Pelodiscus sinensis: one gene and its partners. Each later gene encodes a partner of the first gene's protein in a complex. Links are inferred from orthologs where the notes say so. Each region holds a gene or a part of one and is shown in the gene's direction. Other genes may lie near its edges.

Region 1 (7,618 bases):
GGGATGTGCGGGATGAGTGTTTTCAGGTTTACTGGTCTTGAAGCCTTGAAATAGACAGCACTTGAGTTTCATTCCCACCCAGTGAGTGTGGCAGCAGAACAGCTGTACTTCTGCCAGCAAGCTGTGACCAGCTTCTCTCTGAGTAAAGCAGTTTGGCAGGATCTTGTACTTGGAGTCTGAGACTGTTGAGTTCTTATGTATTTATTCTTCTAGGCGTTAGTTCTTTAAATATATTTCAGATAACGGACAGTGCTGATGCACTGAGAGAACCTTACCCTGTAATTGAACTTTTTCTTTATTATCCAACAGAAAACCTCACTCCTAGAAACAGAATCCTAAGTAAGTTCATTTGAAGCCCAATTACTTGACAGGGAGTGCGTTTTAAAGTGTCGATCCTGTCCATGTGTCATGCTCAGCTTCTGTAGTAACACCTTTGGTTTAAAAAAGTATCATTACAGAACTAATTACCATAAACAAACACTATTTGCATAAGTGTGCTTTAGTCAAGATGGCTTGTAATTAATGGATATTCCTTTCTCTCCGTTTCTCTGGCACACTGAGGCTACATCTATACTGCACTCTTCTTGCGCAAAAGCCTATGCAAATGAAGCACGGATTAGCATAGTGCAGCGCTTCAGTTACATAATTAGGGGCTGTTTTTCCTGAAAAAATGAGGAATGGCTCTTGTGCAAGAGGGGGGTTTTGCGCAAAAAGGAGCCATCTACACAGCTTTTTGCACAAAAGCCGCTTGCGCAAAAATTGCCCCAATTAATTATGCAAATGAAGTGTGGCAATATGCTAATTTATGCCTCATTTGCATAGGCTTTTGCGCAAGAAGAGTGCAGTATAGACGTAGCCTCAGAGAGAAAAATGTGGGGGGTATTTATGGGGCAATGTTATCAACTTCTCACCCGTAAGACATTTGGTATTTGTGTCACATTCAGATGAGTTTTGTTCTTTAGTAGACGCCTGGGAAGACAACTTGAGCTGTCCAGTGTGCCGGGCGGGGACGTAATCGCTAAAACTCCTAGAGGTTACATGGCTGCGTGTGCTGCAGGCTCTGCACTGTAAAGCTAAGTAAGGACTGCCGGCTCCGCTCCTACGGAGGCTTTGCTGTGGGCTCTGCAGCTGGTGCTTCAGGAGAAGGGCCCATGGCCCCTGCTGGCCCCACTCCCAGGGAGCCAGTGTGTAACCTGCAGTGGGGGAGCTTCTGGCCATCCAGAGTAGCCCCTGCCTGCCCTAGGACTCGCAGGGCTGGACACCGGCCCTTTCCCAGGAGCGGGTGGGGAGCTGCTCCAGCCCCTGCCGGTTAACTGCAACGGTTAAGCCTCACCTGTTTAGTTTACGTCCCTAGTGCAGAGTAGGAGCTGGATATGGGACTCTTCAGCTTTATTTCCATCTCTGACCCAGAATGGCTGTGACCTTGGGTAAATCGCTTTGGGTCCGTCTTTACACACTCAACTTCCATTGGTTTAATGAAAACTAGTAAATTACTGAATTTGCCTAAATTGATGTATGCCAGTTGTGCGTGCCTTTCCTGTTAGTAGGTGCACACTGGTTTAACTGAATGGATTTAAAAATACTTCATAGTTAAGCTGGTACAAAGCTTGCTTGCCTGGTGGCTGTGTTGTGAAGCTTAATGAATATTTTTGTGAAGCATTTTGAGATCCTTGGAGGAAGTGTAGCACATTCTCCTGTCCCCATCAGGCCCCATTGGGGTGATGGGATTCAATGCTCGGCGTTCTAGCATACACACTGAATTCCACTGAGACCTGCTGGAGTTCATCAGGCTTTTGTTGCAGTCTTTTATCATGGCTTGTTAATTTGGATCTCAGTTTTGAAGTATTTTTCCTTTACAAAACAACGCCTCCCCCTTCAAAAAAGAGGATTTTAACCTTATTTTATGTATTACTAACGAAGAGCCATCTGGTCAGGTTCATGACAAAGTCTTCAGAAACGCACGTTTTGTAATGTGTCCTGAAACTTGCAAACGGTGGCCTTTGTTGGGATGCCAGTGAAGTGTTTCGCAGCTGTGATCGGCCTGCTAGTTTGCCAGGACAATGAAGGTCAGAGATGATCAGCACTGGATCCAGCAGTCCTAATCGTCTTAGGGTTAGGACTTGTCTATAAAGTGGCATGAGCCAAACCAAGTGGATTTTAAATGTATCTCGTTAGACTGGTGCAGCTTTTCTAATGTAGACAAAACCTTTCACTTTTGGGCCTAACACCGTCACCGACAGCCAGGAACGCAATGGGAATGGAGCGCGTGCCGAGAAGCACAGATGCAATGTTTGACCTTCTGCTTTGGAGGGAAATGGCTGAGCTCTGCACCAGCTGCCTCTTCAGTGGCAGCCCATTGCAGTCGCCATCTTGGAAGGTCATGCAGGTGACTCACTATATTCAGTCATGGCGCTTTTAGTGCTCACCCAGGACAACATAGCAAGTCATTTTCATGCCCTGAACATATGGGGCTTGAATAGGGCTAACTGAGGCTTTCTCCCCCATTTGATTTGTCCAGAGCAGTTTCCACATTTTTTCCTGAATTGTTGGTTTTGCTGAAAGCTTGAACTCAGTCAAAATAAATGTAAGAACTTTTTAATGAGTTTGTTGTTAGACTTCCTCTGTGTTGACCGTTAAAAATGGGTCCACTATGCACTAGGGTAGAAGTACATGTGGGGGAAACTTCCTAGCAGGGCTACGGTGATTGGTTTGGTTTAACATTAGTCTTCCATCTGGGCAGACCTTTTCCTTAGTTCTTTGGTGTGTGTGAAAATGGCCCAGGTTACAGCCAGCCGTATTAGTTGGCAATCTGCAAACTTTGCCCAAATTTGACGGTCAGTTCTGGTCTGCATCATCTCAGCGTCTCTAGTTTTAGGCTTCGCTTGAGCAGCAGTGAAAAGGGGGAGGGAGGCATGTTCTGATTTGTGTGAACAGGGAATCTGGATCCAGGGCTTCTGATAATGCAAAAACTAGTGTCTCTAGCTATACAGGCACCTTCCCTCCTCCGTGATGCTCCGGTGCCAGCAACCAGATGGGTTCTAGAGCTTAGAGATACGCAGGCACAGACAGCCTAGCCTCAGTCCTTTCGCCGAATAGTAATGCAGAGGGATGCAGGGGCTTGTATTTAGAAACCTGGAGTATTCCCGTGTTCGGGGTTTTTTTAAGCTGTGGCTAATCCTTTCAAAGAAAAGGAAGAATAAAAATATCATGTAAAGGCAGCGATCAGATGTGCCCGGTCTCTTTTAATAAATAGGATGTGGGAGTCATTTCAACAGAATGCTCACTTCTTAACTAGGCTTTTTCAACTTTCTCTTGCTGAATTTGATGCAAAAGTTTGAGTTGCTGTGTCCTTTTCCTGCAAAGCTTTGTGACTTTATTCATTTGAACCAGGAGTAATATGTTATGACACTGAAAAGAAGCTAGGCTGCAGGTCCTACACAGTAACAAAATGTACAATTTGTTTTAAAACAGCCACCACATAGGAACAAAAGATGAGCGCAACAAAAGATGAAGAACAAAAGATGCGCCATATTAAATCATGCTTTTGGCTGGTGGGATGAGGGAGGTCATGCCCCACGGCCAGCAGGTCAGTGGATTAGGACTAGTGTTACCTAAGCGCTTTGAGTGAATTATTCAGAAATGCAGATGTTGTTTATAAAGCTAAGAAATGAGCCAGTGGGCCAATGTCAGAGGCTGGGCTCCGGCTAGGGCTTTTCTGGCTATTGCCTTCAGTTTCCCATGGGGGCTCATGGCTTAAGCACCCCCTGCCCAGCCCTCCAGGATAATATCTTAGGGGTGCTCTGTGAGGTCAGTAGCCAAGCTGTCTCCTTTCCTTTGGGCCTGGTAGGCATGTATGGGTCCACAAGGCAGGGTCTCTGGCCAGGAGGAATCCAGCTGTGGGGGCTTCCCTTCCAGGCTGCGTCCTGATAATGAAAGGGAACAGCACAGGCTGCCCTAGGGGATGGAAGGAGCCCCGAAGAGCTTACTGGCTGCTGCTGGTTCTTGGAAGCAGGGAACTCTGCAGGTGCTTAGCTGGGCCCTGTCCCTGACTTTTCCCTGCATCCACCCTGGGCTGCTAGCCAGGTGCTAGGGGAGGCTAAGCATTCAGGATCTGGAGGGTCAGATCTGGCTGGGATGCAGCTGTGTTGCCTGTCCCCTTCCCAGCCAGCCTCGCCCCTGGGCACAGGAGCCCTGCCAGCGGTGCAGTGGCCGGGCGTGATGTCCAGTGTCAGGAGTGTACTGTGCCAGGGGTGTGATGTGGAAACGGGGGATGGGCGTGGGGGGGGGGTGCCTCTCGCAGACAAAGCCCTGGATAAGCAGACTACCCCCCCAGCTGCAGCCTTGGGTGAGGGTGCTTGCCACGCCTGCCCCCCCCGCCCCTGGCGTGCAGCGAGCGCCCAGCCTGCCCCCCGCACCCCGCGAAGGACGGGTGCCCAAACGATGGGATGCGGTTGCCGGGGCAACCAGACTGGACGTCACAATGTGGGCATGTGTAATCCCGGGGAGGGGGGGCTGGGTGCGTGTCTCCCTCCTGCGCGCTGCGGGCTGGCGGGGCCGGCGCGGGGGCGGGGGCGGGAGGAGCGCGGGGGCGGGGGCGGGCAGAGGGAGAGGGAGAGGGAGAGCCCTCCTTAAAAAAAAAAAAAAAAAGAAAAAAAAAAAGGAAAAAAAAAAAAAAGACCCGGGGCCGCCGCAGCCATCTTCGCGCGGAGCAGCCTCACCCTGCGCCGCGCAGCCCGCGCCCGGCAGGTGGGAGCCCGCGGGCATGCGGGGGCCGGCGGGGGAGCCGCGGGACGAGACGGAGAACGAGGAGGACATGTCCGGTAGGCGGCGGGCAGGAGGCTGCGGTGATGGGCGCCGCGCGGGCAGGGCCGGGGTGGGGATGGGAGGCGGGCGCCGAGCCCCGGGGCGGGGGGCTGCGGGAGCTCGGGGCTGCCGAGGACTCTGCCTTGCCGCGGAGCGCGGGTCCAGGCACCTGCCCCTCTGCCCGGGAGGGACGGAGCCCAGGCGATGTGGCTCCGTGGGCAGCTGCTTTCTGAGGCTCGCCTGCAGGCGGGGGGCTGGGCCGGGGCCCCCCTGATGGGCCCCCCTTGGGAGCATGCAGCGGGGCGGGGAGCCTCCCCCCCAGCGCCCTGCCCCTCTGCCCAGGCAGCCCGGAGCGGGCGAGGGGGGTGCCAAGCGCTAGAGGCGGGTTTTCGGAGGTGCTGATCCCCCTCCCCAGCAGCATCACTCTACGGGAGCTGCGGGAGCTCAGCGCCTTTGAAGATCTGTGACTTCTGCTCTCCTCCCCCGCTGCCTAACAGCCCTGCCTGGGGTGAGTAGCCCAAGGCCTAAGGAACTGGCTGAAACCGCCTGGCTGCCTTGGACTGCTCCTTCCTTCCTTCCTCTCTTGGTCCTTTTTCTACTGGAGAGAAACTGACCCCACTTGTTAGAGCTAAGCCAGGTGGTAGCTGGCTACCTACCAGGGATGGGAAAGGTTAACCGGGACTTGAATGGATGATGTGTATTGGTGCTGGTTAACTGGTAACCCTGCCTCCGCTTCATCAGCCAACCAGTTAAAGATTAGGTGGGCCCAACATGTCACTGGTTAACTGATGAACCGGGATGCTACCTCCCTACTTTGTGCCCTGTCCACATGGGGTGTGGCAAGGGGCTGTCTGGCCTGGTTCCTGTTCCGGGCTGACTCCGTTTCTACATCTTCCCTACTGTAGACTTTTTGGCCCCGTTCTTTGACAGGGGTGGTGACTCTGCCTACAGCTCACCACCCCCCGGCTCTCTCTGCCTAGACTCTCTGAATGTTTCTTGGGTGCCTAGTCTAAACTTTCCTTTCTTCCTCTTTTCCTTACATTTGCAGTGACCTGGAAGGGGTTAACGGGCGGTTCTGGTGTCTCCTCTGTCCTCTTTCCCAGCCTTTGTAGGTTTACCTCCCTCATTCTCTCCACTGGTGGTTTATCTGTGATTCTTGTATCACTTTTACCTCCCTTTGTTTTTCTTGAGGTTGGTCTGTATCCTGGGGTCTACAGCTGTGCTGGGGCATTCAGGCCAACAGACTCATTTCAGTTGAGCCCAAACCTGGTTTGTTGAACAGCAGCTGAAAGACTTTTGTTTACCTGGTTTGTTTTTCCTACTTAACCCACTTTACCTGGCTGTGCCTGCCACCTCTGACACCCACCTGCTCTGCTGACAGGCGTGCTGCATATCTTCTGGGTAAAAAGCAGCTGCTGCACTAGCAGGCGTTTCAGGAGCTTGCTAAGACAGAGTCTTTCTTGGGCTGGGCCAGCAAGGTCCAGGGTAGGATTCAGGGGGGCTGGGTAAGATGTCAGGGCTGTCAATGGAACAGAGCTGACACAGCATTTGTCAGGAGGCGAGGGCAGGGAATCGGTTAGCTAAAGGCCTGGCTTACACAGGGAGGCTTATTCATTGTAAGACCGATAGCTGAGCACAGAGAGATGGATTCTGTAGTTGGGACACAGACATAGGAGGAATCTGCCTAGCTCTTGGCTAGACAGAGGGGGGCCAGCAGGGAGCCAGGCCCTCCCAGGTCAGCAGGGTCCAGAATTCCTCTGGGGCTGGGCTAGGGCGAGGGAGCGCCCAAGGCTGGGGCAGGAAACGAAAGCTCCGCCGGCCCTGGGTTGTGGAGGGAGGGAGAGCCAGCTTCCCGGATGGGACAGTGGGGGGGCAGCTCCTCTCGGTGTGGGGTGTGTGCACAGAAAGTACCCCTCTGAAAGTGGCCAGATATGTATTCCTGTACACATGCCTGCTTGGGGCTAATGTCTTCAGTTTAACTCTGCATGAATATGGGCTAACGTGCCTAGAGCAGGGGTGGGAACCTTTTTTGGGTTAGGGGCCCCACAGAGAAATCAGTTGGGGCCACACACGAGTGAGAAGCAAAAAAAAAAAAAAAAAAAAAAAGCAGAAAGACTTTCCCCACATTCCCAACGCACACCAGAGCTGAGGGGGCCCAGGCTGGCAGCTTTGTGTGCTCCAACCCCACAGTGGGGAGACAGAGAGGCTGGAGCGCCAGCGCGGGTTCCCCAATGCTGGGGGAGGAAGCCCTGAGCCTCAGGGGCAAGATCCAGGCAGGTCAGGAGATATGTATGGTCTTCATTGGGAATTCCTTATGTGTGACATCTTCCTGCAGAACTGCACAGAATTACCTTGCTCACTCTGGGTGTGTAGTTCTTGGTTTTTTCAGTGTTGGGGTTTTTAAGGAAAAAGTGTCTACATGTACATAGAGGCTGATGTATTATGCACCAAAGCTACATCCACAAACTAAAACACTCGTATTGCATCTGTTAACGTAGCCACATTGGCCAAATTCATGCAAGCACAAAATGGCTAAAAATCCACCCAAGCCAGTGGAGTTGTGCTTGTTTATGCCAACAGGGCCAGATTTACCACTCTGCAGGGAATCCTCACCAGGGTCACACAAATCTCACCGTGCTGCCTTCTGCACAAGGGTGGATTCTACCCATGGCGAGCGGGGTCCATGCAGTGCCGCTCGTTTTCTTACATTGCTAAAGTGGACATTCTCCTGAGCGGAAAGCCCGAGCACACCCATTTAACGGCGAGCAATGCTATCGGAGAGAATCGGATTTCCTGGAAAATAGGGGCTGATCAT
Region 2 (7,469 bases), on another chromosome or scaffold:
GTGCTTAGGATTCTTTCATCCCAAGTGCAAGACTCTGCACTTGTCCTTATTAAACCTTAGGGCTGTGTCTAGACTGCATCCCTTTTCCGTAAAAGGGATGCAAATTAGACACATCACAATTGCAAATAAGGGATCTTTCGGAAAAGGCTTTATTTTCCGAAAGATCCCCGTTTAGACTGGCGCTTTTTGCCAGCAAAGCTCCGAGCTGGGAAAAAATGGCAGCCATGTTTATGCAAATGAAGCGGGGGGGTTTAAATCCCAGCTTCATTTGCAATTGCGATGTGTATAATTTGCATCCCTTTTTACAGAAAAGGGATGCAGTCTAGACACAGCCTATGAGATTTATTTTGGCTCAATCCTCCAATTTGTCTAGGTTACTCTGGACCTTATCCCTGCCCTCCAGCGTATCTACCTCTCCCCCTAGCTTACTATCATCTGCAGACATGCCCTCACTCAGGTCATTAATAAAGATATTGAACAAAACTGGCCCTAGAACTAATCCTTGGGGCACTTCACTTGAAACTGACCACCAACCAGACATCGAGCTGTTGATCACTACCCATTGGGCCCAACAATCTAGCCAGCTTTCTCTCCACCTGACAGTCCATTTATCCAATCCATATTTCCTTAACTTGCTGGCAAGACTATTGTGGGAGACGTATCAAAAGCTTTGCTAAAGTCAAGGTGTATCACCTCCACTGCCTTCCAAATGTCCACAGAGCCAGTTATCTTGTCATAGAAGGGCAATCAGATTGGTCTGGCATGACTTGCCCTTTGTGATTCCATGTTGACTATTCCTGGTCACTTTCCTCTCTTCCAAGTGCTTCAAAATGGATTCTTTGAGGTTCCCCGCCATGATTTTTCCAGAGACTGAGGTGGGGCTGACCAGTCTGTAGTTCCCTAGATTGTCTTTTTTCCCTTTTTTTTTTAAAGATGGGCCCTACATTTGCCTTTTTCTAGTAATCTGGGACCTCCTCTAATGTCCACCAGTTTTCAAAGATAATGGCCAATGTCTCTGCAATAGCATCTGCCAACTCCCTCAGCACCCTTGGATGCATTAAATCAGGTCCCATGGATTTCTGTATGTCTGACTTTTCTAAATAGTCCTTAACCAGTTCTTTCTCCACTGAGGGCTGCCCACCTCCTTCCCATACTGTGTTGCCTAATGCAGCACTCTGGGAGCTGACCTTGTCTGTGAAGACAGAGGCAAAAAAAGCATTGAGTACTTTAGCTTTTCCCACATCATCTGTCAAATAGTGGAGACTAGCCCAACTTATTGCCTTTCTCCTTGATTAAAAAAAAATTAAGAACATACACATTTTGTAAGTTATCTCTGCCTCCAGAGTGTGTGGGGGGGGGGAGAGGACATCAAACCATGTAACACATCGGTTCTGTAGGATATGTCCCCTTCTAGTGGCTGACCTATGTAAAGATCAAGAGTCCACTGTTGCTACCAGTGAGCAGACAGCTCAGAGGGCAGAGATGTGATATTGGTACAGAAGATGCCCAACTTCTATCTCTACTGGGTGTCCTGTGAAAAGAGGTTACTGCATTTGATAGCTGCTGAATGTAGGACAATGGAAATGATGTTTTCTGTCTGTAGGATGTGGGTCCATGCCATGACCCTGCCTGGCCGAAAGGCAATATCTCTGAGAGAATTCATCTCTGGCCTCATTGCTAAAATTGCCAACAAAGCAGATTATAGTGCCAGCTGGGATGGTTATTTTTTGTTACAGCCACAAATGTGTGAAAAGAGACCACTAATTGTACATTGACTGCACACCATTAGGGAGATGGGAAACACTTTTGGTCATGTTGTACCCATGCCAATTTCTCTGGGGCCTACCCAGAGTGAAAACTGGGAACAAAAGATAACCAGCCAAGCCAATTAAACTGGACAGGTCTTACAGGTGCCAAAAGATAAGGGTGTGATTTTCTGTGGTCTAGCACATTGTGTCGTCACAGCTAAGCAGGAGAATTGAAGAGTGGATGTAAAATCCTACTTTTCTGGCAGAGTGGCAACAGACACCCACTCTGCAGAGATGTCCATGATGGAGAATCTGGCCCTAAATTATTGAAAACTTTCTATTGGTGGAGAAAGGAAAAAAAAAGGGGGGGGGGGGAGAGTGCTCAAAAATATAGATGGGTCCCTCTACACCTTGTATTATTGTAATTTAAAGAGAGATGATTTTATAGGGTCTTCACTATTTTAAAGACATTTCTTATAGGAACATTGTATGTTTTTAAGCTGTCAATGTGAGTCCCAAGTAAATTCTCTGAGGCCCTGCATCACATGCATTTGTTTACACTAGAATACTAGTAACTCAGAAAGATTCCATTCTATATTTACTTGATAGATGTATAAATGACTGCAGAAGGTCAGGGTAATGGAGAATCGGGACCATAAAAATTAGGTCAAGAATGATGTGTTCTGCAAAGGTTTACAAGCATTTGAGGGATCAGTGTAAACAGTGATGTGCAAACCCTGCAACAAAGGTTCAGGAATCATCAGGCATCAATTTGGAAAGTGCTGGATGAGAGGGGGGGGTTAGCCGCATGACTCCTGTTGAGTTTGAAAATTGCACAGCCACCCTTTAGATGCCATTTTGAAAATATGGGATAAAAAGCATCTAACTTTATGCCTTAAGCTTTCAGGCCTGGTGTTAATGAAGTACAGCGCGCATTACGGCTATGTCTAGACTGGCCAGTTTTTCCGGAAAATCAGCAGCTTTTCCGGAAAAACTTGCCAGCTGTCTAAACTGGCAGCTTGAATTTCCACAAAAGCACTGATTTCCTACTGTAAGAAATCAGTGCTTCTTGCGGAAATACTATTCTGCTCCCGATCAGGCCAAAGTCCCTTTTGCACAAAGCTTTTGCGTAAAAGGGCCAGTATAGACAGCTCAGATTTGTTTTCCGCAAAAAGGCCCCAATCGCGAAAATGGTGATCAGAGCTTTTTTGCGGAAAAGCACGTCTAGATTGGAACGGACACTTTTCCGCAAAAAGTGCTTTTGTGGAAAAGCGTCTGTGCCAATCTAGATGCTCTGTTCTGAAAATGCTTTTAATGGAAAACTTTTCAGTTAAAAGCATTTCCGGAAAACTCATGCCAATCTAGATGCAGCCTAGATGTTTAAGCAATAACCTTCGCGACTCTGGACTTCACTGCTGTAAGTAACTTGTTACATATTTGGAGTTGAAAATGAAACTGCAGGACACCAAGTTAATTTATTTCACAGGCTTCAGCCATGATTGTTCCTATAAGGGCTCTGAAGTGTTTCATGGGTAGAACAGGGAAGTGGTGTGTAGATACTTGAGTTGTAGTGGCTGTTGTATCACCTTATACAAATTATTTAACCTCAGGCAACTCAGTTTCTGCACCTGTAAAATTGGAATCAAGCCTACCTTCTTTTGTAAAGCCATGAATGAAATGAAAACTGCTCTAGCCCTAATTCTGTACCATGTAAGTCAATGGAAGGCGGTCATTAAATGGAGCCAGGATTGGGCTCCATTTGGTTGCAAAATAATAGTAGAAATTGTAACTGTCACAGCTTTCTCAGAGTAACACTCTTACAATGGAAATGCCATGTAATGTGAAAATTCCAGCATGGTGTTTAATTATAGAACCCACTAGAAGGGGTAGGAAGACTGATTCTGATCAGTTACACTCATGTAAATCTAGAATAACTTTAACTGAATATGCCATAGGCCTATTGTGGGTTAATTGGAGGATAACTCTGTTGCAATTAAATTGATCCATTGTTGGAATGAGTATTGGGGTCAGAGATCTCTAAGACTTTTTAAATATTATTTTTAAAACTTAGCATTCTAAATCTGTGAGGAAAATTATTTTTCATTACCATGTCTTTGCAATCAGAAAACCAGTTCATTATAAATTATTTTTATTTTCACTACAACTCTCATTGCTATATTGCAGTCTATATTGACCTTCAACCTCTGGTCTGGTGGTCAGACAAAAATGTATATAATATATAAAATAATTTTGAAAAAAACACCTTTTTCCCTTTGAGAATGTATATAGAAAATTGAGAGAAAAATGCTTAAACATTTATTAGCAGAAATTTTTCATCATTAAAATTAATTGGAAAAATTATATATATTTTAAAAAATACAGATTATTGTCTCATCTCCCACAAAAACCATCAAAGCCACTCTAACACCACAAACTCAACCTTTTTTCTCCTTTTAATATTGCTCAGGAAACATTTCCTCAAACCCCAGCTCACCCTTTTTAACAAGTTACATGTTAAGCCTTCACCCCAAAAGTTCTGCCAAAAGTTTCTGAAGTTAATTTAAAAAACAATGTTTTTTTAAAAGAGCTCTATTGTTTGCTTTGTAAAATAAAATAAAATAAAAAAATTACCCCCCTCCAAAAAAAAAAAAAAATCTAAAGTGCTTTGGGTGTAGCTGTGAGGCATGTGAATTCCTTTTCTCCCCTAAAGTTTTTGGATTCATGTCTCCTAATGATGTATGGATGATATATTGCATTGTGGGTGTCAATATAAGTGACGGCCATATTTGCCGGTGCTGCTACCGCTGTAAACAACCCAAAGTGTCTGAGAGACACAGAGACGCTCCACTGAATGTCAGGACATTTTTATTTCTTGAATTTACAATGTCTCTAGGAATGTCTTACAAGCCCAACTTGAACGCCCACCTCCCTGGGACTTCCATCAACCAGGGTAAGTCTCCGATTGCAACTGGAGGGCAAGTTTTCCAGCCCTTTTTGGAGGCACAAAAAGAGCGCTGTGGTGCAGCAGGAATACCTGGGGAAAGCCCCAGACTGTAGTTTTTGTCCAGTTCTATACGTAGGGTCAGATCCTCGGAGCTGATTCATATCCGCCATTATTACTAATCACAAACAGCGCTGCGCTTCCCAAGGAGCAAACTTCGGCTCCCCGCGTGGCTCCCGCTCCGAGCCCCGCGGCGCCCCGGGGCGCTGCGCCCAGGCTGGCGTCCAGGTGCCGGCCGCCTCCGCGCGACGCCTCTCAGTTGGTAGCTCTTTTGATCCGGCCGTTCGCTTTCCTCCATGATCGCCTCCCTCGGGCTGCTGATTGATCTGGATCAGGAATATTCTGTTCGCGGCTCAGCCGCGACCGCTGCTGGCCAGACGCTGCAAGTGCCTGGCCGCGCATGGTGTGTGGCGAGGCAGCCTTTGCTCTCTGCTCTTCGGGGCTGGGGGCTTTGCTGTCCCCTGTCTGTGCTTTCTCCAGGGCTGCACCCTAAGGGGACTTTGAAAAAAGCCCCTCACCCCTGATCTGCAAAAGCCCCTTTTTCCAGCAGGGTTGGGTAACCTGGGATTGTCACTCAAAGTGCCTTGGAGAGGATTCATTTGTGTTGCATAAATCTCCCTCCAGAATGAGATGTTAGGCGCTTCATTCTTGTTCGAGAAAACCTATTTTTCCCCCAGTCTGTGTTTATTTTTATTCCCCAGCTTCTCCATCCCCTGCAAAGTTACTTTGATGGATTTAACTTTTTATTTGCAAAGGAAATAGTAATTTAAAAAATAATTTTGGTTGTGAACTTTGCTGTAAAAGTGTGTGTGTGTGTGTGTGTATTTGTATGGGTATGCATGTGAAAGTGTGTGTGGGTATAATTAAGAAAATTCAGAACACAGTTGCAGGAATTAATCCAGAGTGGGGTATTTTCAGGAGATCACCCATATATTTATCTCTCTTAGTGGTACTAAAACAAAATATGGAAAAATTGTGTTTAACCAAGCTAGTCTTACCAGGTCACTCACATGCATAGCATCTACAGGTCTGATATCAAAATATCAACAGGAAGAAATGTGACTTTTAAAACAAAAAGGGTAGAGAGAGAAGTTTTGATGTTTGAAGACGGAGTGGAAATATGCTTCAGTGGTTTTGTAGCACTGCCTGAGATTCTGTTCTTGGGGTATTGATGTGCTAAAGAAATTAAAAGTCCCCAAATGGTACAATGAGAGTTGCAATTTTAGCAGATCTCATTCTACTGAAAGGAATTTGTCATCAGTGGCTAGAGAAGAAAGACATGAACTACAACCGTGGTCCTGCAAACACCTATATATGAGAATAGCTTGAAGCTTGTTCTAGCTGACTTTAATGAGAGGTCCAAGGTGTGTAAAATTCAGCATGCATGTCAGTATTTAAAGGATCATGGCTTGAGATCAGCATGTTACATTTAAAAAAAAAAGTCATGGTCCTGACTTAGATTCTTTGTGACATAATAAAGCAGTATTACCATAAAAAAAAACCAAAAAAAAAAAAAAAACCCAAGCATTGGAACTGTTCCTTTTTGTCTCTCACTACAATCTGTCTCATTCTCTAAAATACCTCCATACAAGAGCAGGGACACTAAGCTTTTTGTTTTGATTTTTGGCTTACGTCATGGAGTGAGGGGAAAACACAAGGCTAACTGCACTTCATATGAAAGAAACGGCTAAGACCATGGCAAATAGGTTACTGAGACCATTAGTTTAAGTAACTTGGGAAGTTTTTTCTGTATTTTTGTTGTTCTCGTTCTGTCTATATGATTTCTGATAAACCATGACACGATTCAAGCTTTAAATTCTTTCATTTGATTAGTCCTCAGTGGCTTTTCAGCAGTCCAGTGTTGTGCTCCTGTTATCCCTGTCTAACTTGTGCTTGCTTAATTGTCAGCTTTACTGCCCAGAGATGCTTTGAAATGAAAAATATCGGAATCGTTATCCAAAATGGACTCTCTCTTTCTCTCTGTCTCCTGCCATTATCCCTCCTTCACCAGCCCTTCCTCTAGCTAGTGGCAATGCCAGCATGATGGCCTGAGGCCAAGGGAGTTAGACAAAGCAGTCCTTGCAGGGGCACACATTGCATTGAGAATGATGTGACTGCAAATGGCTTCCTTCCTTTCTTGCTGGACCCTAAACTGAGTTTCAGGAGGATCCTTCTCTATTGTGTTTTAATGAAATACCACCAGCTCAGCTAGAAGTGCAAATCCTGGGTTTGCTTCCAAACCTGGGTCTCCCTTTCCTTTGTATTCTGTGGAGAGGCTGAAAAAGCAGGACATCTGTCCCTTTGGCCCAAAATCACCTCTGCAGAAGCTGCTCTATCGGAACTTGGAGTGATCAGGAGTCAAGTTTTTCAAGGGGAGGTGGCCAACTTGGAGTCCCTAACAGTGCTGATAATCTGTGCTGCAGGGTTTCTGGTGCAAGTGGGACTATAGAGACTGTGGTGACATGCTTCTGAAGTCTGTGTCTTCACTGCAGAGCTCACTTGTGTTATCTACACTCTGGTTAATTCCACTTAGTCTAGCTCCAGCAAGAGTGGCCACACTGCAAAATAACAGGAGCTACCCAAAGTTGTTGTGTGAGCAGCTGATGAGTTGTGCTAACTTGAGCTGCAGATTATACAGACAGGCAGGTCCACCACCCTCTGGCTATGGGATTTTTGTGTGTGGATGGGTCTTGAATTAGGGACAATGATCAGGTTATAAA
Region 3 (7,677 bases), on another chromosome or scaffold:
GGAAGTAGCTTCAGCTGGTTCCAAGCCCAGCAGGACTGACGTGACCCTAACTACAAAGGTACTCTGGTGGCTGCCATAGTGAAGGGAGGTAACCTTGCTGAAGCTACTGGACAGCAGTTTCTCACTGTGATATTTGAAAATTCAAGTGACTTTCAATTGGACAAAACTCCTTGAGGTCAGAAGACAAGACCTAACTCTAGATGAAGCTGGTGTCTTGCTGGGATTCTTTAACTTTTATTAGATGTTTGTTACCTTGTTCACGTTGAGGGAAATGTGAGGCTGTTTCCTTACCGCTGTCGCAGAAATCCAAGCATGGAAGGCTGGGAATGATTGGAACAGATGCACTAGACGGAAACAGAGAGAGAACAGCTTCAGGAATAATTTTGGTTTTCTTTAGCTTACTACAGTTCCATGTTAGAAGAAAATAACTTTTTCCTGAGGGGTCATGATGCTAACTGCTTGGCTACGTCTACACTGGCATGATTTTCTGAAAATGCTTTTAACAGAAAAGTTTTTCGTTAAGCATTTTTGGAAAAGCACGTCTAGATTGGCAGGATGCTTTTCTGCAAAAGCACTTTTTGCGGAAAAGCGTCCGTGGCCAATCTAGACGTGGTTTTCCGCAAAAAAGCCCTGATTGCCATTTTCGCCATCGGGGCTTTTTTGCGGAAAACAGTACTGTGCTGCTTACACTGGCCCTTTTGCGCAAAAGTCTTTTGGAAAAGTCTTTTTCCCAAATGTGAGCAGCATAGTATTTCTGGAAAAGCACTGATGATCTTACATGAGATCGTCACTGCTTTTCCAGAAATTCAAGCGGCCACTGTAGATAGCTGGCATGTTTTTCCACAAAATCATCTGATTTTGCGGAAAAACTTGCCAGTCTAGACACAGCCCTTGGGTTTAGGAAGGAGTTCTACTTGCATGGGTATAATATTACTTAATTGGTCCATTTGGGGCCAATTTCAAGCATCCTGGCCCCAGTTGAGTGGAGGAATAGATATCTGTCATCTAATAATAAGCTAGGGTCAACTGTGAACCCTGTAGGCCACTAACATAGTCAAACACTTCGGCAAAGGTCAAGCATATTCCATAAGGTGACCAGATCTACTTTAAAAGGACAGACTAGTATTTAGACTCTTACAGGTGTCCTGACTTCTTGAAAATGGGCAAATTGTCTTGTGTGTTCTGATTTCCTCCCTCCCTCTCCCCCAGTACTGGCCAGTCCTGCTGCTGAGTTCAGTGGCTGATGATGGAACCGGGTGCAGCATGTGGGGCTGGCCGCTCCTCCTGCTAATCCACCAGTGCTGTTCTTGCTGCATGCCGGCTCTTGGGGAGCAGCCCTGTCCTCCCGACCTCCCATTTGTGGCCAGCAATAGCTGTGCACTATGGGGGCCGGTGCCTGCAGGCAGGCAGCTACGTGTCATCTCTGCTGCCCACTCATCAGCTCTTTACATGCTGCCCCTCACTGTCCTCTCTTGCTGTGCCCCTTTGCCCTCCCCTACCAGCCCCACTGTTCCTCCACCCCCCACAGTCCTGGGTCGGTGCACTCAGCTCACCAACAGCTTGGTGGGCAGGCTCCATCCTTCCCCTTCTGCTCTGGCAGGGCTGGGGCCTGGGAAAGCTCAAGCCCCTCCCACCCAGTGTGTGGGCCAGGAGGAGGGTCAACTAAGCTCTGGAGCAGGAGAGGGGAGCGAGTCCCCGGTATGCACAGTGCTCCTGCAGGCTCTGCAACAGCAGCCCTTCCCCTGCTGCCCTACCCTGGCACCTGGTCCCCTAGGCACCCTCCTCTCGGGCCAGATTGTCTGAAGTAGGGATGTGAGCGTGTAGTCGATGGTCCGATAAGCATAAGCCTATTGCATAGTCGACTAGTGATGAGACTAGTTGCTTCCCCCCGTTCACTGCCTCTGGCAGAGGCAGCAAGGGCTGTGTGTGCAGGAGCCGGTGCTGGAGGAGAGCTGGCTAAAGCTGGTTCCCCCCAGCACCGTCTCCGTGGGGGGGGGGGGGGGTAGAGGCACAGTAGGAAACAGAGAGAGCAGGACTGATGCAGTCTCCACTCCCACCGCTTCTGCTGCGATTCTGCTTTTGAAATTGTCGTTATACTGGGCTCTTGTACAGTTCAAAAACTGAAGCCCTGTGGGGAGCTGGGGCAGGCCAGTGGGGACTCCCCTACTGGCCCCAGGCTCCCTATGGCACCTGAGCCTTTGAAATGTACAAGGAATGTACTAGCCTTTGAAATGTACAACCCACAGGGCTTCTTGTATATTTCAAAGGCTGAGCCAGGGCAGGGAGCATGGGCCAATCCCCTGCTGGCTCCGTGCTTCCTGTGTGGTTTCCGAGCTGGCTCTTGCTACAGTTCAAAGGCCGAGCGCTCTTATAGACTAATCGGCTAGTCGATGGAAATCCTATTGACTATTCAATTAGTTAGTTAATCTAAATTTAACTTCCTTCGGCTGAAGCCCCTGCAGTCAGGTTCACTGGATGCTGGCGCACAGGGCAGCCTTAGGGCTTAACCGTTTCCTGTCCATGCTGTAGTTGGGGGACAGGAGCTGGGTGGGTTTTGTCAGTGGCCAGCAGCAGCCTGGAGGTGTTAGCTGCCTTTCAACACTGGGCGGGAAGAAACAAGATGCTTCCAGCCACAGAGGAACAGGGTAGGTGGCGGGGGGAAGATGGCCAGGTCATCGTTTCCCTCCCGCACAGTGCTGCAAGGCTGCTGCTGGCCACCTTCTGGTGTGAACCCCAGCAGCAATCTGGGGACGGGAGCATGTGACCCTGTGTGCTCCTCCCCACAACTTGCCCTGGGCTTGCTGTGCCAGCTCCCTGGAGCGGTGGGTCCATCTGGAGCCCCAGCCAGACATGGAGGGTTGGATCAGTCAGTCATCTCGAGAGGTGGATGGCGGTGTGTGTGTGTGTGTGTGTGTGTGTGTGTGTGTGTGTGAGTGACCTTGTCACGTATGAACCCTACAGCCTTAACGATAGCAGGTCATTCAAAAGATTCCAAGGGAGCACTATTCCTTTCTTTCAGGAAGGGGCAGTCACCCTGACGTTAATTTGAATGTGAGTCCTGCATAGTTGTGACGGGTTGCCTTTGAACTTGCTTAAATATGAGTAATTTTACCAGGTGTCCCGTATTCAGCGCAGGGAAATATAGTCACTCCTTCCGGCAGTGGTGCGGTCCCAGCCTCCCTCCATACATTGATGCTTCCCTTCTGCCTCCATCTCAGCTGGACAGTGGTGTAATCAGCTTCTGTCAGTCTCTGCTGGGCAGGCAGGAGGCAAAGAATGATGCTGTATAGTACGAGCGCCTAGGCAAAGAGCTGTAGTGCCTCGTATTCCCGCTTGCAACCCTTGCCCCTTTCCAGAGTCTGCTGGGTGCCTGTCCTCAGTGCCGGCTGCCCCAGCACAGCAGGGCCCCACTTGCTGTCCGCCGCAGGGTGTGGAGCAGGTGTGATCTGGCCGAGGGCAGAGGATGGCAGCTGGGGCCCTGGGGATGGATGAATCCATCCCTAAGGCTACCACTGTGCCCCATTCTCCTGCCTCCTTCCCAGCCCATCCCCCTAGCGCCACTTCCCACTGCCCTATTCCCCTTGCCCACCACTTCCCTCTCAGCCTCCCTGCTGCCCCTTCCCCTCAGCTCCCTCTCCCCCCACTAGCCAGCCCGTACTGCCCCTGCCCCACTTCGCTCCTACCCGCCCTCTCGCCACATTGCCTCCCCCCCCGGCTCCAACCTGCCCCCCATTATCCCCCTGGCTCCAACCTGCCCCCCCCATTATCCCCTTCGGCTCCAACCTGCCCCCCATTACCCCCTCCCCCCTCAGCTCCAACCTGCCCCCCATTATCCCCTCCCCCCTCAGCTCCAACCGCCCCCCCATTATCCCCCTCAGCCCTAACCTGCCCCCCCATTATTCCCTTCAGCCCTAACCTGCCCCCCCACATTACCCCTCCCCCCTCGGCTCCAACCTGCCCCCCCATTATCCCCCTGGCTCCAACCTGCCCCCCCATTATCCCCTCCCCCCTCAGCTCCAACCTGCCCCCCCATTATCCCCTCCCCCCTCAGCTCCAACCTGCCCCCCCATTATTCCCCTCAGCCCTAACCTGCCCCCCCACATTACCCCTCCCCCCCGGCTCCAACCGCCCCCCATTATTCCCCTCAGCCCTAACCTGCCCCCCCACATTACCCCTCCCCCCGGCTCCAACCGCCCCCCCATTATTCCCCTCAGCCCTAACCTGCCCCCCCACATTACCCCTCCCCCCCGGCTCCAACCGCCCCCCCGTTATTCCCCTCAGCCCTAACCTGCCCCCCCACATTACCCCTCCCCCCCGGCTCCAACTGCCCCCCCGTTATTCCCCTCAGCCCTAACCTGCCCCCCCACATTACCCCTCCCCCCCGGCTCCAACCGCCCCCCCGTTATTCCCCTCAGCCCTAACCTGCCCCCCCACATTACCCCTCCCCCCCCGGCTCCAACCGCCCCCCCGTTATTCCCCTCAGCCCTAACCTGCCCCCCCACATTACCCCTCCCCCCTCAGCTCCAACCGCCCCCCCGTTATTCCCCTCAGCCCTAACCTGCCCCCCCACATTACCCCTCCCCCCTCAGCTCCAACCGCCCCCCCGTTATTCCCCTCAGCCCTAACCTGCCCCCATTGGCCCCTCCCCCGGCTCCGACCCGCCCCGCCCGGCGCGGCCCCTTTAATTCCCCTCCCCCTCCCGGCCGCTCCAGCCTCCATTTTCCAGCGGATCCGGCACCTGGAGGCGGCGCGGGAGCGGCCCGGCCCGGGCATGGCCGCCAACATGTACCGGGTGGGAGGTAGGGCCGGGGGGGGGCAGGTGTAGAACGCGGGGGGGCCGGGAGCAGCGGGGGGGCAGGTGTAGAACGTGGGGGGGCTGGGGGCAGCGGGGGGGCAGGTGTAGAACGCGGGGGGGTTGGGGGCAGCGGGGGGGCAGGTGTAGAACGCGGGGGGGCTGGGAGCAGCGGGGGGGGCAGGTGTAGAACGCGGGGGGGCTGGGAGCAGCGGGGGGGGGCAGGTGTAGAACGCGGGGGGGCTGGGAGCAGCGTGGGGGGCAGGTGTAGAACGTGGGGGGGCTAGGGGCAGCGGGGGGCAGGTGTAGAACGTGGGGGGGCAGGTGTAGAACGCGGGGGGGCTGGGAGCAGCGGGGGGGCAGGTGTAGAACGCGGGGGGGCTGGGAGCAGCGGGGGGGGGCAGGTGTAGAACACGGGGGGGGCTGGGAGCAGCGTGGGGGGCAGGTGTAGAACACGGGGGGGCTGGGGGGCAGGTGTAGAACGCGGGGGGGCTGGGAGCAGCGTGGGGGGCAGGTGTAGAACGTGGGGAGGCTGGAGGGCAGGTGTAGAACGCGGGGGGGCTGGGAGCAGCGTGGGGGGCAGGTGTAGAACGTGGGGAGGCTGGGGGGCAGGTGTAGAACGCGGGGGGGCTGGGAGCAGCGTGGGGGGCAGGTGTAGAACGCGGGGGGGCTGGGAGCAGCGTGGGGGGCAGGTGTAGAACGCAGGGGGGCTGGGAGCAGCGTGGGGGGCTGGCGGGAGATGGGAGTGGGGTAGAATCTGGGGTGCATGTGGGTTGGGGGTCTTAGGGCTGGGGCAGAGTGCAGAGTTGGGTTGTGGGCAGAATTGGGGCTGGCAGGGGATGGGGGACTCTGGGGCAGTGGGTCGTAGGGATGGAGTAGAATGTGGGGCTTGGAGTTGTGGGGGCTGACATGTTTTGAGGTTGTGGGCTGGATGCTCTGGGGGGGAGCAGCTAATGTGTGTGGGGTTGTGGGTAGGTCTGGATGGGGTGTGCGGGAGAGGGTAGGGCTGGATGGGGTGCGCGGGACGAGGTTAGGGCTGGATGGGGTGTGCGGGATGAGGGGTCGGGAGAGGGTAGGGCTGGATGGGGTGTGTGGGATGAGGGGTCGGGAGAGGGTAGGGCTGGATGGGGTGTGTGGGATGAGGGGTCGGGAGAGGGCAGGGCTGGATGGGGTGTGCGGGATGAGGGGTCGGGAGAGGGTAGGGCTGGATGGGGTGTGCGAGACGAGGGTAGGTCTGGATGGGGTGTGCAGGATGAGGGGTCGGGAGAGGGTAGGGCAGGATGGGGTGCGCGGGACGCGGGTGGGGCTGGATGGAGTGCGCGGGACGAGGTTAGGGCTGCATGGGGTGTGTGGGATGAGGGGTTGGGAGAGTGTAGGATTGGATGGGGTGCGCAGGATGAGGAGTCGGGGGAGGGGAGGGTTGGATGGGGTGCGCGGGATGAGGGGAGGGTTGGATGGGGTGTGCGGGATGAGGAGTCGGGGGAGGGGAGGGTTGGATGGGGTGCGCGGGATGAGGGTAGGGTTGGATGGGGTGTGTGGGATGAGGGGTTGGGGGAGGGGAGGGTTGGATGGGGTGCGCGGGATGAGGGTAGGGCTGGATGGGGTGTGCGGGATGAGGGGTCGGGAGAGGATAGGGCTGGATGGGGTGTGCGGGATGAGGGGTCGGGAGAGGGCAGGGCTGGATGGAGTGTGCGGGATGAGCGGTCGGGAGAGGGCAGGGCTGGATGGAGTGTGCGGGATGAGGGGTCGGGAGAGGGTAGGGCTGGATGGGGTGTGCGGGATGAGGGGTCGGGAGAGGGCAGGGCTGGATGGGGTGTGCGGGATGAGCGGTCGGGAGAGGGCAGGGCTGGATGGGGTGTGCGGGATGAGCGGTCGGGAGAGGGCAGGGCTGGATGGGGTGTGCGGGATGAGGGGTCGGGAGAGGGGCAGGGCTGGATGGGGTGTGCGGGATGAGGGGTCGGGAGAGGGTAGGGCTGGATGGGGTGTGCGGGATGAGGGGTCGGGAGAGGGCAGGGCTGGATGGAGTGTGCGGGATGAGGGGTTGGGAGAGGGCAGGGCTGGATGGAGTGTGTGGGATGAGCGGTCGGGAGAGGGTAGGGCTGGATGGGGTGTGCGGGATGAGGGGTCGGGAGAGGGCAGGGCTGGATGGAGTGTGCGGGATGAGGGGTCGGGAGAGGGCAGGGCTGGATGGAGTGTGCGGGATGAGCGGTCGGGAGAGGGTAGGGCTGGATGGGTGTGCGGGATGAGGGGTCGGGAGAGGGTAGGGCTGGATGGAGTGTGCGGGATGAGCGGTCGGGAGAGGGTAGGGCTGGATGGGTGTGCGGGATGAGGGGTCGGGAGAGGGCAGGGCTGGATGGAGTGTGCGGGATGAGGGGTCGGGAGAGGGTAGGGCTGGATGGGGTGCGCGTTATGAGGGTAGGGCTGGATGGGGTGTGCGGGATGAGGGGTCGGGAGAGGGCAGGGCTGGATGGAGTGTGCGGGATGAGGGGTCGGGAGAGGGTAGGGCTGGATGGGTGTGCGGGATGAGGGGTCGGGAGAGGGCAGGGCTGGATGGAGTGTGTGGGATGAGGGGTCGGGAGAGGGTAGGGCTGGATGGGTATGCGGGATGAGGGGTCGGGAGAGGGCAGGGCTGGATGGAGTGTGCGGGATGAGCGGTCGGGAGAGGGTAGGGCTGGATGGGGTGTGCGGGATGAGGGGTCGGGAGAGGGCAGGGCTGGATGGAGTGTGCGGGATGAGGGGTCGGGAGAGGGTAGGGCTGGATGGGGTGCGCGTTATGAGGGTAGGGCTGGATGGGGTGTGCGGGATGAGGGGTCGGGAGAGGGCAGGGCTGGATGGAGTGTGCGGGATGAGGGGTCGGGAGAGGGTAGGGCTGGATGGGGTGCGCG
Region 4 (6,874 bases), on another chromosome or scaffold:
GTGCCTTCCTTCCTGGCTGGGAGGTGAGTTCATACAGAATTGCCTCTGAACTCTGGCTCCTCACTAACCAAGGACCACCACTGTGAGTGGACAGTGATGAAGGAGCAGAAGGGAGCGCAGCACAGAAACTTTTGGTTGCAGAACTCAAGAACATGAGGCAGAAGGCACTGCCCATGCGTGCTGATGTGGGTGTTCTCGTCACGGTTTTATGTTTATGAATCCTGCTGGTGGCATTTCCTCTAATTAATGTCGAATGACTTCTCCCATTATTAAAAGTTTATTTACTACACCCAGACTCTGTGCTTGTGAGTAATTTTTCCAGGTTAGTGGAGGATGGAGGCTTGAGCCGGTTCTTTATTGCACTATTGAAAAGGAACTCCTAGATATTGAACTCGTCCCTGATTGATGCCAGCTGCAGTTGGCAGAAAGGATATATTTACAAAATCAGACATAAACATGCCAAAGTGTCACACTGCCACATATTATTACAAATTGCTAACTTTTGCATTTTTACTGTTGTGAGACTTTATACCAGGGCTACTCAACATGTGGCTCGCGGGCTGCGGCCCATTTATTTGCGGCTCGTGGTGCAGTTTGGGTTTACATGGGGCTCAACATGTGACCTGCAGGTGAGATCCTTTGAACATGACCTCCACTGAGAACACGCTCCACAACGGCAAGTTAATATAATGGTCTTCTGTTGATATGCATTTTAGTAGTTAAATTCCTGGACTGTCATCGCTCATTAAAAGTGCTGTCATGTGGGTGGAAATCAGGTAAATACTGCATTTTATTAATATCAGCAGATCTTTCTTAAATGGGGCCTGCATCTTGTGTAGTCTTGCCTTAATCTTTGTATTCATGCCTGTCAGTGTGAAAGAACCTATTTGCATATGTATTTGCATGTATATGCAACCACACTTAAGTTGCAGCCCTCGGCATGTGCTGTGAGTATCATTGTGGCCCCTGGGGCTCCCAAAGGTGAGTAGCTCTGCTTTATACCTTACAGGAGCACCTTGTAAAAAAAAACAAAAACTATTTTTCATCTACATATAACTGCACAGGCACAGACTTTCAAAAGTGCTGGATGCCCAACCCCTGGCTCTGCCTCAAGCCCTGTCCCACTCTACCCCTTCCCCCAAGACACCATCCTCCCACGTCCTACCCAGTTCCCGTCCCTCCCCTAAGCACACTGCATCCTCACTTTTCCAGCTGCTCACAGTGGGTGTGAGGCTTGAAGTCAAAGGCAATGATCCATGGGGCCAACCTATGGGTGGGAGGTTCTGGGGGGGAGAGCTTATGGGGGGGTTGTTGGGAGGGTGCTCAGCACTCATCAGTTTTCCCCCCGAAGCACCCACGGAGTCAGTGGCCATGTATAATTGTCATATTGGATATATAAAGCATACCATGTTAGGTATCAGGGGAAAGGTTCTGATCAGCTGATAATCATTGTTCTATCTACATATGCAGGGCTCGACAAATTATACAATCTACTCGCCTGTGGCGAGTAGTTTGTAACCCGGAAGAGCCGGGTTCAGGCGATCTGAGCATGCGCAGATCGCCGGACAGCGCGGCTGGCGAGTGGGGCTCACCGCGGTTCGGCAAGCCCTGTACATATGTATATATTTAATGCATATAAGTCTTGAGATTGTTTTGTACAAGTGCCATGAAAACATGATGTAAGTTGGAAGATCAACTCTAGATACTAGCTCCGCAGAGACAACAGCATAGAGCAGGTTTTCCCAACCTATGGGTCGGGACCCAAATATGGATCGCCATTACATTTCAAAAGGGTCTCCCCAGGTGGCTCTTAAGGAGCCATTCACACATTTTTTGAATTGTCCTGGGTCACCAAGTCTTCCTGAATTGTCAAAATGGGTCCCCATCTGGAAAAGGTTGGGAACTGCTGGCATGGAGAGAAGCCAAAACCCAGGCAAGTGTCAAAACAAGCATCAATAGACATTATCAAGCAAAGGAACAATTCAATGACTCACCTGCGTAAGACAGCTGCATCAGGGGAATTGCTCAACCTTGCCTCAGGACTCAGCAATACCCATCAGACTTGCCTGGACTTGTGTTCTCCAAGCAGATGGACTAAGGTAGAGGTGGGCAATAATTGTTGGGGGGGGGGGGGCACTTAACCAGTTTTGTTAATGGTTTCTGGGCTGGCACATCAGGTGGAAGGGGCAGGACCTAGGCAGAAGGGCCAGTTTCCTCTGGGCACTGCATGCGGTGGAGGGAAGGGAGTGGGGGAGAGGAGATTTTGCACATTCCCCCTGCAGGGTGGGACAGCATGCGAAATCTCTTGGCCCCCTGCCGTGCCAGGGCACTGAGTGTCCAGAGGGAACCACCAGCTGTTTTGAAAAGCTGGCAGTTCCCTCTGATGCCACATGCCCGTGGCAGGGAGAGTAGACTTCATGCACTCCCCCACCCCCAAGTCCCGACGGGCCTGGGGGCAGGGGCATGGCAGGGTGGGCCGCAGACAGGATCAAATAGCTTGGCAGCCTGGATCTTGCCCACCCCTGGTATAAAACAGACCACACTGGCTCATGCTTCACCTTTCTCCTGCCCTCACCTGTGTGGCGAGTGGCGAACCAGTTAATACATTTGCTCTGCTCACCGTGAGCCGGGCAAGAAGGTCTATTCCTGAGGTAGAAGGCGGGGCGGCCGTGGCTGGCGCCTTTCTCTGTGCGGCGCGTGCGTAGCTCTGGGCGCATGCAGGCGATCGAGCTGGGTGCCTCCCCGTGCTGTTGTGCAGAGGGGTTTGCTGCTGGCCTTGCAAAGCAACGAGAGCAGGAGCCCAGGGAGCGGCTGCCCGGGGGGGATCCCCTCACAGCGCCGGGCGCCCTTCACACAACTGGCTCCCCGGGCGAAAGGCCAGTTGGCGCCGGCACTTAGAGCAGCCTGAGCCCCGGGCAGAGCCCCCTGCTCCCGCCCGGGGCCTATGGCAGGGGCGACTCGGGGCAGCCCCCCCCCAGCCACCAGTCTCACAGCTACATGGGGAGCCCCCCCCAAGGGAAGCTCCCCCCGTGCCTCTGGGCCTCCCCCAAGGGAAGCCCCCCCCGTGCCTCTGGGCCCCCCCAAGGGAAGCCCCCCCCGTGCCTCTGGGCCCCCCCAAGGGAAGCCCCCCCGTGCCTCTGGGCCTCCCCCAAGGGAAGCCCCCCCCCGTGCCTCTGGGCCTCCCCCAAGGGAAGCCCCCCCGTGCCTCTGGGCCTCCCCCAAGGGAAGCCCCCCCCGTGCCTCTGGGCCCCCCCAAGGGAAGCCCCCCCCGTGCCTCTGGGCCCCCCCAAGGGAAGCCCCCCCCGTGCCTCTGGGCCTCCCCCAAGGGAAGCCCCCCCCGTGCCTCTGGGCCCCCCCAAGGGAAGCCCCCCCCGTGCCTCTGGGCCTCCCCCAAGGGAAGCCCCCCCCCGTGCCTCTGGGCCCCCCCAAGGGAAGCCCCCCCCGTGCCTCTGGGCCCCCCCAAGGGAAGCCCCCCCCGTGCCTCTGGGCCCCCCCAAGGGAAGCCCCCCCTGCTCCCGCAGACCCCTGTGGCCTGCGCTGCAGCATCCCAGGGCCGGGCCCTGGTGCAAAACCGCCCTGCTGGGTTCCCACAGCTGGGGGGGGGATGGGTCTCCCAGGCCACGACAGCAGCCCCCCCCCCCGGGCAGGATTCGCTCCAGCCCGGCCCCAGGCTGATTCAGGCGCCCAGCCACGCGGCGCCCTAAGCGGGCAATTGCCCGCCGGCTTCCCCACGCGAGGCCGGGCTGGCCGGGAGCGCCTAGGCCTCAGGGCGTCTCGCTGGTCTCCATAGAGACGGGAGCCAGGGAAGGGGCGCCGTGACGCGGGGCGCACGTCACAGAGGGGGGCGGAGGACGCAGGCGCGGGAGGCAGGCGTCACGAGCGGGCGCCGCAGGGTCCGAGCCGAGCGAGCGAGCCAGGCGGCAGCGGCGCGCGCCGGGCCGGGCGGGCCCAGGCCTGTGAGGGACGGGGCGCGAGCCGGAGGGGTGAGCGCCAGAAACGCGCGCGCCCGAGGGGCCGGGAAGGGGCCGCGCGCGCGCGCTCTCTCTCCCACTCCCAACCCCAGCGCGAGGACACTGCCGGACAGCGGCGTCGGGACCCAGCGGGACGGGGGAGGCCGCGGCCAATCAGCGGCGAGGGGTGAGCGGGGCCGCCCAATCGGCTTCAGCAGCCTCGCCGGCCGGCCAATCGGCGGCAGCGTGCGGGATCCTCCCGCCAGCCCGGGAGTCGACGCGCCCCGCGCCGGAGCCGCAGCCAATCAGCGCCCAGGAGCCGCGCGCCGCGTCAGGGAGGGGACTCGGGGATGTCCTACAAGCCCATCGCGCCCGCCCCCGCCAGCTCCGGAGCCGCCGGCACCAGCAGCAGCGCCAGCCCCGCCCCCGGGGCCCCGCCCGCCGGTGAGCGACAGAGCCCCCCCCGGGGTCATTCCCCCCCCCGGGAAACAGCCCCGCCCACCGGGGAGCGACAGGGCCCCCCCCGGGATCGGCCCCCCCCGGGATCACCCCCCCCGGGAAACAGCCCCGCCCGCCGGGGAGCGACAGAGCCCCCCCCCCGGGATCGCCCCCCCGGGAAACAGCCCCGCCCGCCGGGGAGCGACAGGCCCCCGGGATCGTCCCCCCCCCCCCCCGAATTCTCCTGTTCCCTGGGAGACACCCCCCGGCCTCGCGATCAGCCCCCCCCCGAGCAAATCCCTTGGGAGTGACCCCCCCCAGAACCTCCCTCCCCCCCGGAGTAACCTCCTCAGGGAACAGCCCCCCCCCGGAGCCCTTGCTCCTCCCTCCGTGACCCCCCCCAATTGCCTCTGCTCTCCGCGAGCTACTCCCCTCCCCTCCGAGTGGGACAGCCCCTCCCCACGCGAGGGGACTTCCTCTCCCCCCCCACTTACCTACTGAGAGAGACCAGCCCCTCCCCCCCCTTTCCGGAACTGCACTTCCCTTGTGTGACCGCCCTCATTTCCTTTCACTAGTGAGAGACTCGCCCCCGCTCTCCCTGAGAAACCCCCTTGGGACCAGCCCCTCCCCCCCCCCCCAAGGAGCTGTATCCTAAATTTTCCCTGCCCCAGTCCAGCCCCCCCCAATTGACCCCTATCTGCTGTTGACCGATCCACACACGGAACAGCCCCAATTCAAACAGCCCTAACTGGCCGCCTGCCCACTCAGTCTCTGAACTGAACCTCCGAGGGCCCTGGGGCACCGCTTACCGGTGAGCCCCCTCTCGCCAGTGCGCTCTCACAGGAATTCTGTTCCCTGCCAACATCCTGAATCCCCCTGCTAGTTAGTGCCACAGCTGCCACCCGCAGGGCCTTCTCTTCCCCTGCCCTGCTCCATTGGCACAGGCTGAGTGGCACATGCTGCTCCTTCAGTACTACAGTGTCATACTGGGAATGGATACCCAAGGGGGGCATTGTGTGACCGAAAAGCTGATGTGATCACTGGCAGGTCTGTGTCTGCTACCTTGGAGCTTTGACATGGTGTATTCGCCTTTCGTTGTGATCGATCAGCTCTGTCCTTAGGTAGCACTTCTCATCCTGAGGCCGAGAGCCCATTATTAAATTAAGTACAAGTGCCCCCCATCTTACAGAAGGGGAATTGAGGGTAGGGAGAGAGTTTGGCTTCTCCAAGGTTTATGGCTTAGTAAGGAGTGGAACTTGGGTCTCCTGCTGGGCACCTACTTCAGAGCCTGCTGGTCTGTAGTAGGTGCTGCACGTGTTTGTAGCCTCTGAGCCGGAAGGACCGAATGTTGTTTGAGAACTTGGATTGTGAAGTCAGACTTGTTCTGCATACAGGTGACTGGGTAGGGAGGGTTAGGGTAGTGCACACAGCTGGGACCTGAGTGTTCCTGACTTCTCTGTGGTTAACTGTGAAACCTTGCACACTCCCTCCTAAGGAAATAGGAGCCTAAATGCTGAAAAGCTGCATGGATAATGAGATAAATTTCACTATAAGGGCCAGTTCTGTTCCTGGGTGGGAGTCATGCTGATAGGGCACTTTTGAGGGGCCCTGCCATGGTAAGGAAAAAAACAGCACCGTGGCAGATGGGATTCCAGGGGGACAGATGCTAAGTAATGCACATTGGCGGGACTAATCTGAACTCACTGTCCACTTCACTGGGCTGTATATTAACCATCACCACTCACCAAGCTGCTGAGTACGACTCTTGTGATTCCTTTTGTTTGCTGGGCAGCAACTTAGAGAGGCAAACACAGTTGGTGGGGGCATGAGGAATGGACTGGAGGAATACTATTGAACTCCTTGGCATGCTCTTCTGGAATTCAATGGGGCACCCTCCTTTGCAAATGATGTGCGGTACTGGTCAACCCATCACTGAAGAATTGGAAGGGCTTCAGAGATGAGTGACAAGAAACTCTCAGCCCTGGAAGGAGGTTGGGATGGTTCAGCCTGGCAGAGGGAGGGCTGATGAAAGGATACAAAATGCTGAATGGACTAGAGAAGACTGTGTAGTTCCCTTGTATCATAACTTAAGGCACATGGACATTGGATGGCATTAAATCAGGCTTGCTGCTTTAACTCCAGGGATCTATGATCAAGCTTGTAGCACTCACTGCCCTAGGAGATCACTAGCCAGATACAGAAAAGGCTCAGATATTTAACTGGGGATAACCCTGCCAGAACCAGGTCTTATTAGAACATTAAATAACTATCTCCCATAGGGCAGGCTCTCCCATAACTGCTGCTGCAGACTATCTTGCACCTTCCTTTGAAGTAGATGCTGTATATTTTAAGCATGCAAAAATCAGGAAATGTCACAGTTGGGGGGAGGAGGGGTGTTGGCTTTCGCAGATGTGTTAAGAAAGCTCTACTGTAGTGGTGGTTTGGTCTGCTTGTTGGACTTAAGTTAGATGATCAGCTCTCATCTT

Evidence for each region.
Region 2: CHD5 (region 1) and CDK2AP1 share a complex: the UniProt entries of both Homo sapiens proteins name them as parts of the nucleosome remodeling and deacetylase (NuRD) repressor complex. The link is inferred for Pelodiscus sinensis from reciprocal best matches to the Homo sapiens genes CHD5 and CDK2AP1.
Region 3: CHD5 (region 1) and MTA1 share a complex: the UniProt entries of both Homo sapiens proteins name them as parts of the nucleosome remodeling and deacetylase (NuRD) repressor complex. The link is inferred for Pelodiscus sinensis from reciprocal best matches to the Homo sapiens genes CHD5 and MTA1.
Region 4: CHD5 (region 1) and CDK2AP2 share a complex: the UniProt entries of both Homo sapiens proteins name them as parts of the nucleosome remodeling and deacetylase (NuRD) repressor complex. The link is inferred for Pelodiscus sinensis from reciprocal best matches to the Homo sapiens genes CHD5 and CDK2AP2.

Annotation. Positions count from the first base shown.
Region 1 is NC_134733.1:23,812,356-23,819,973, reverse strand, and holds the start of CHD5 (chromodomain-helicase-DNA-binding protein 5), read left to right. Parts: upstream 1-4,612; 5' UTR 4,613-4,762; coding exon 4,763-4,820; intron 4,821-7,618. UniProt on the Homo sapiens protein: ATP-dependent chromatin-remodeling factor that binds DNA through histones and regulates gene transcription. May specifically recognize and bind trimethylated 'Lys-27' (H3K27me3) and non-methylated 'Lys-4' of histone H3.
Region 2 is NC_134725.1:31,508,521-31,515,989, forward strand, and holds the start of CDK2AP1 (cyclin-dependent kinase 2-associated protein 1), read left to right. Parts: upstream 1-4,454; 5' UTR 4,455-4,469; coding exon 4,470-4,698; intron 4,699-7,469. UniProt on the Homo sapiens protein: Inhibitor of cyclin-dependent kinase CDK2. Also acts as a component of the histone deacetylase NuRD complex which participates in the remodeling of chromatin.
Region 3 is NC_134719.1:64,828,804-64,836,480, forward strand, and holds the start of MTA1 (metastasis-associated protein MTA1), read left to right. Parts: upstream 1-4,667; 5' UTR 4,668-4,771; coding exon 4,772-4,799; exon of another isoform or gene 4,800-4,840; intron 4,841-7,677. UniProt on the Homo sapiens protein: Transcriptional coregulator which can act as both a transcriptional corepressor and coactivator. Acts as a component of the histone deacetylase NuRD complex which participates in the remodeling of chromatin.
Region 4 is NC_134714.1:128,964,328-128,971,201, forward strand, and holds the start of CDK2AP2 (cyclin-dependent kinase 2-associated protein 2), read left to right. Parts: upstream 1-3,864; 5' UTR 3,865-4,300; coding exon 4,301-4,394; intron 4,395-6,874. UniProt on the Homo sapiens protein: Acts as a component of the histone deacetylase NuRD complex which participates in the remodeling of chromatin.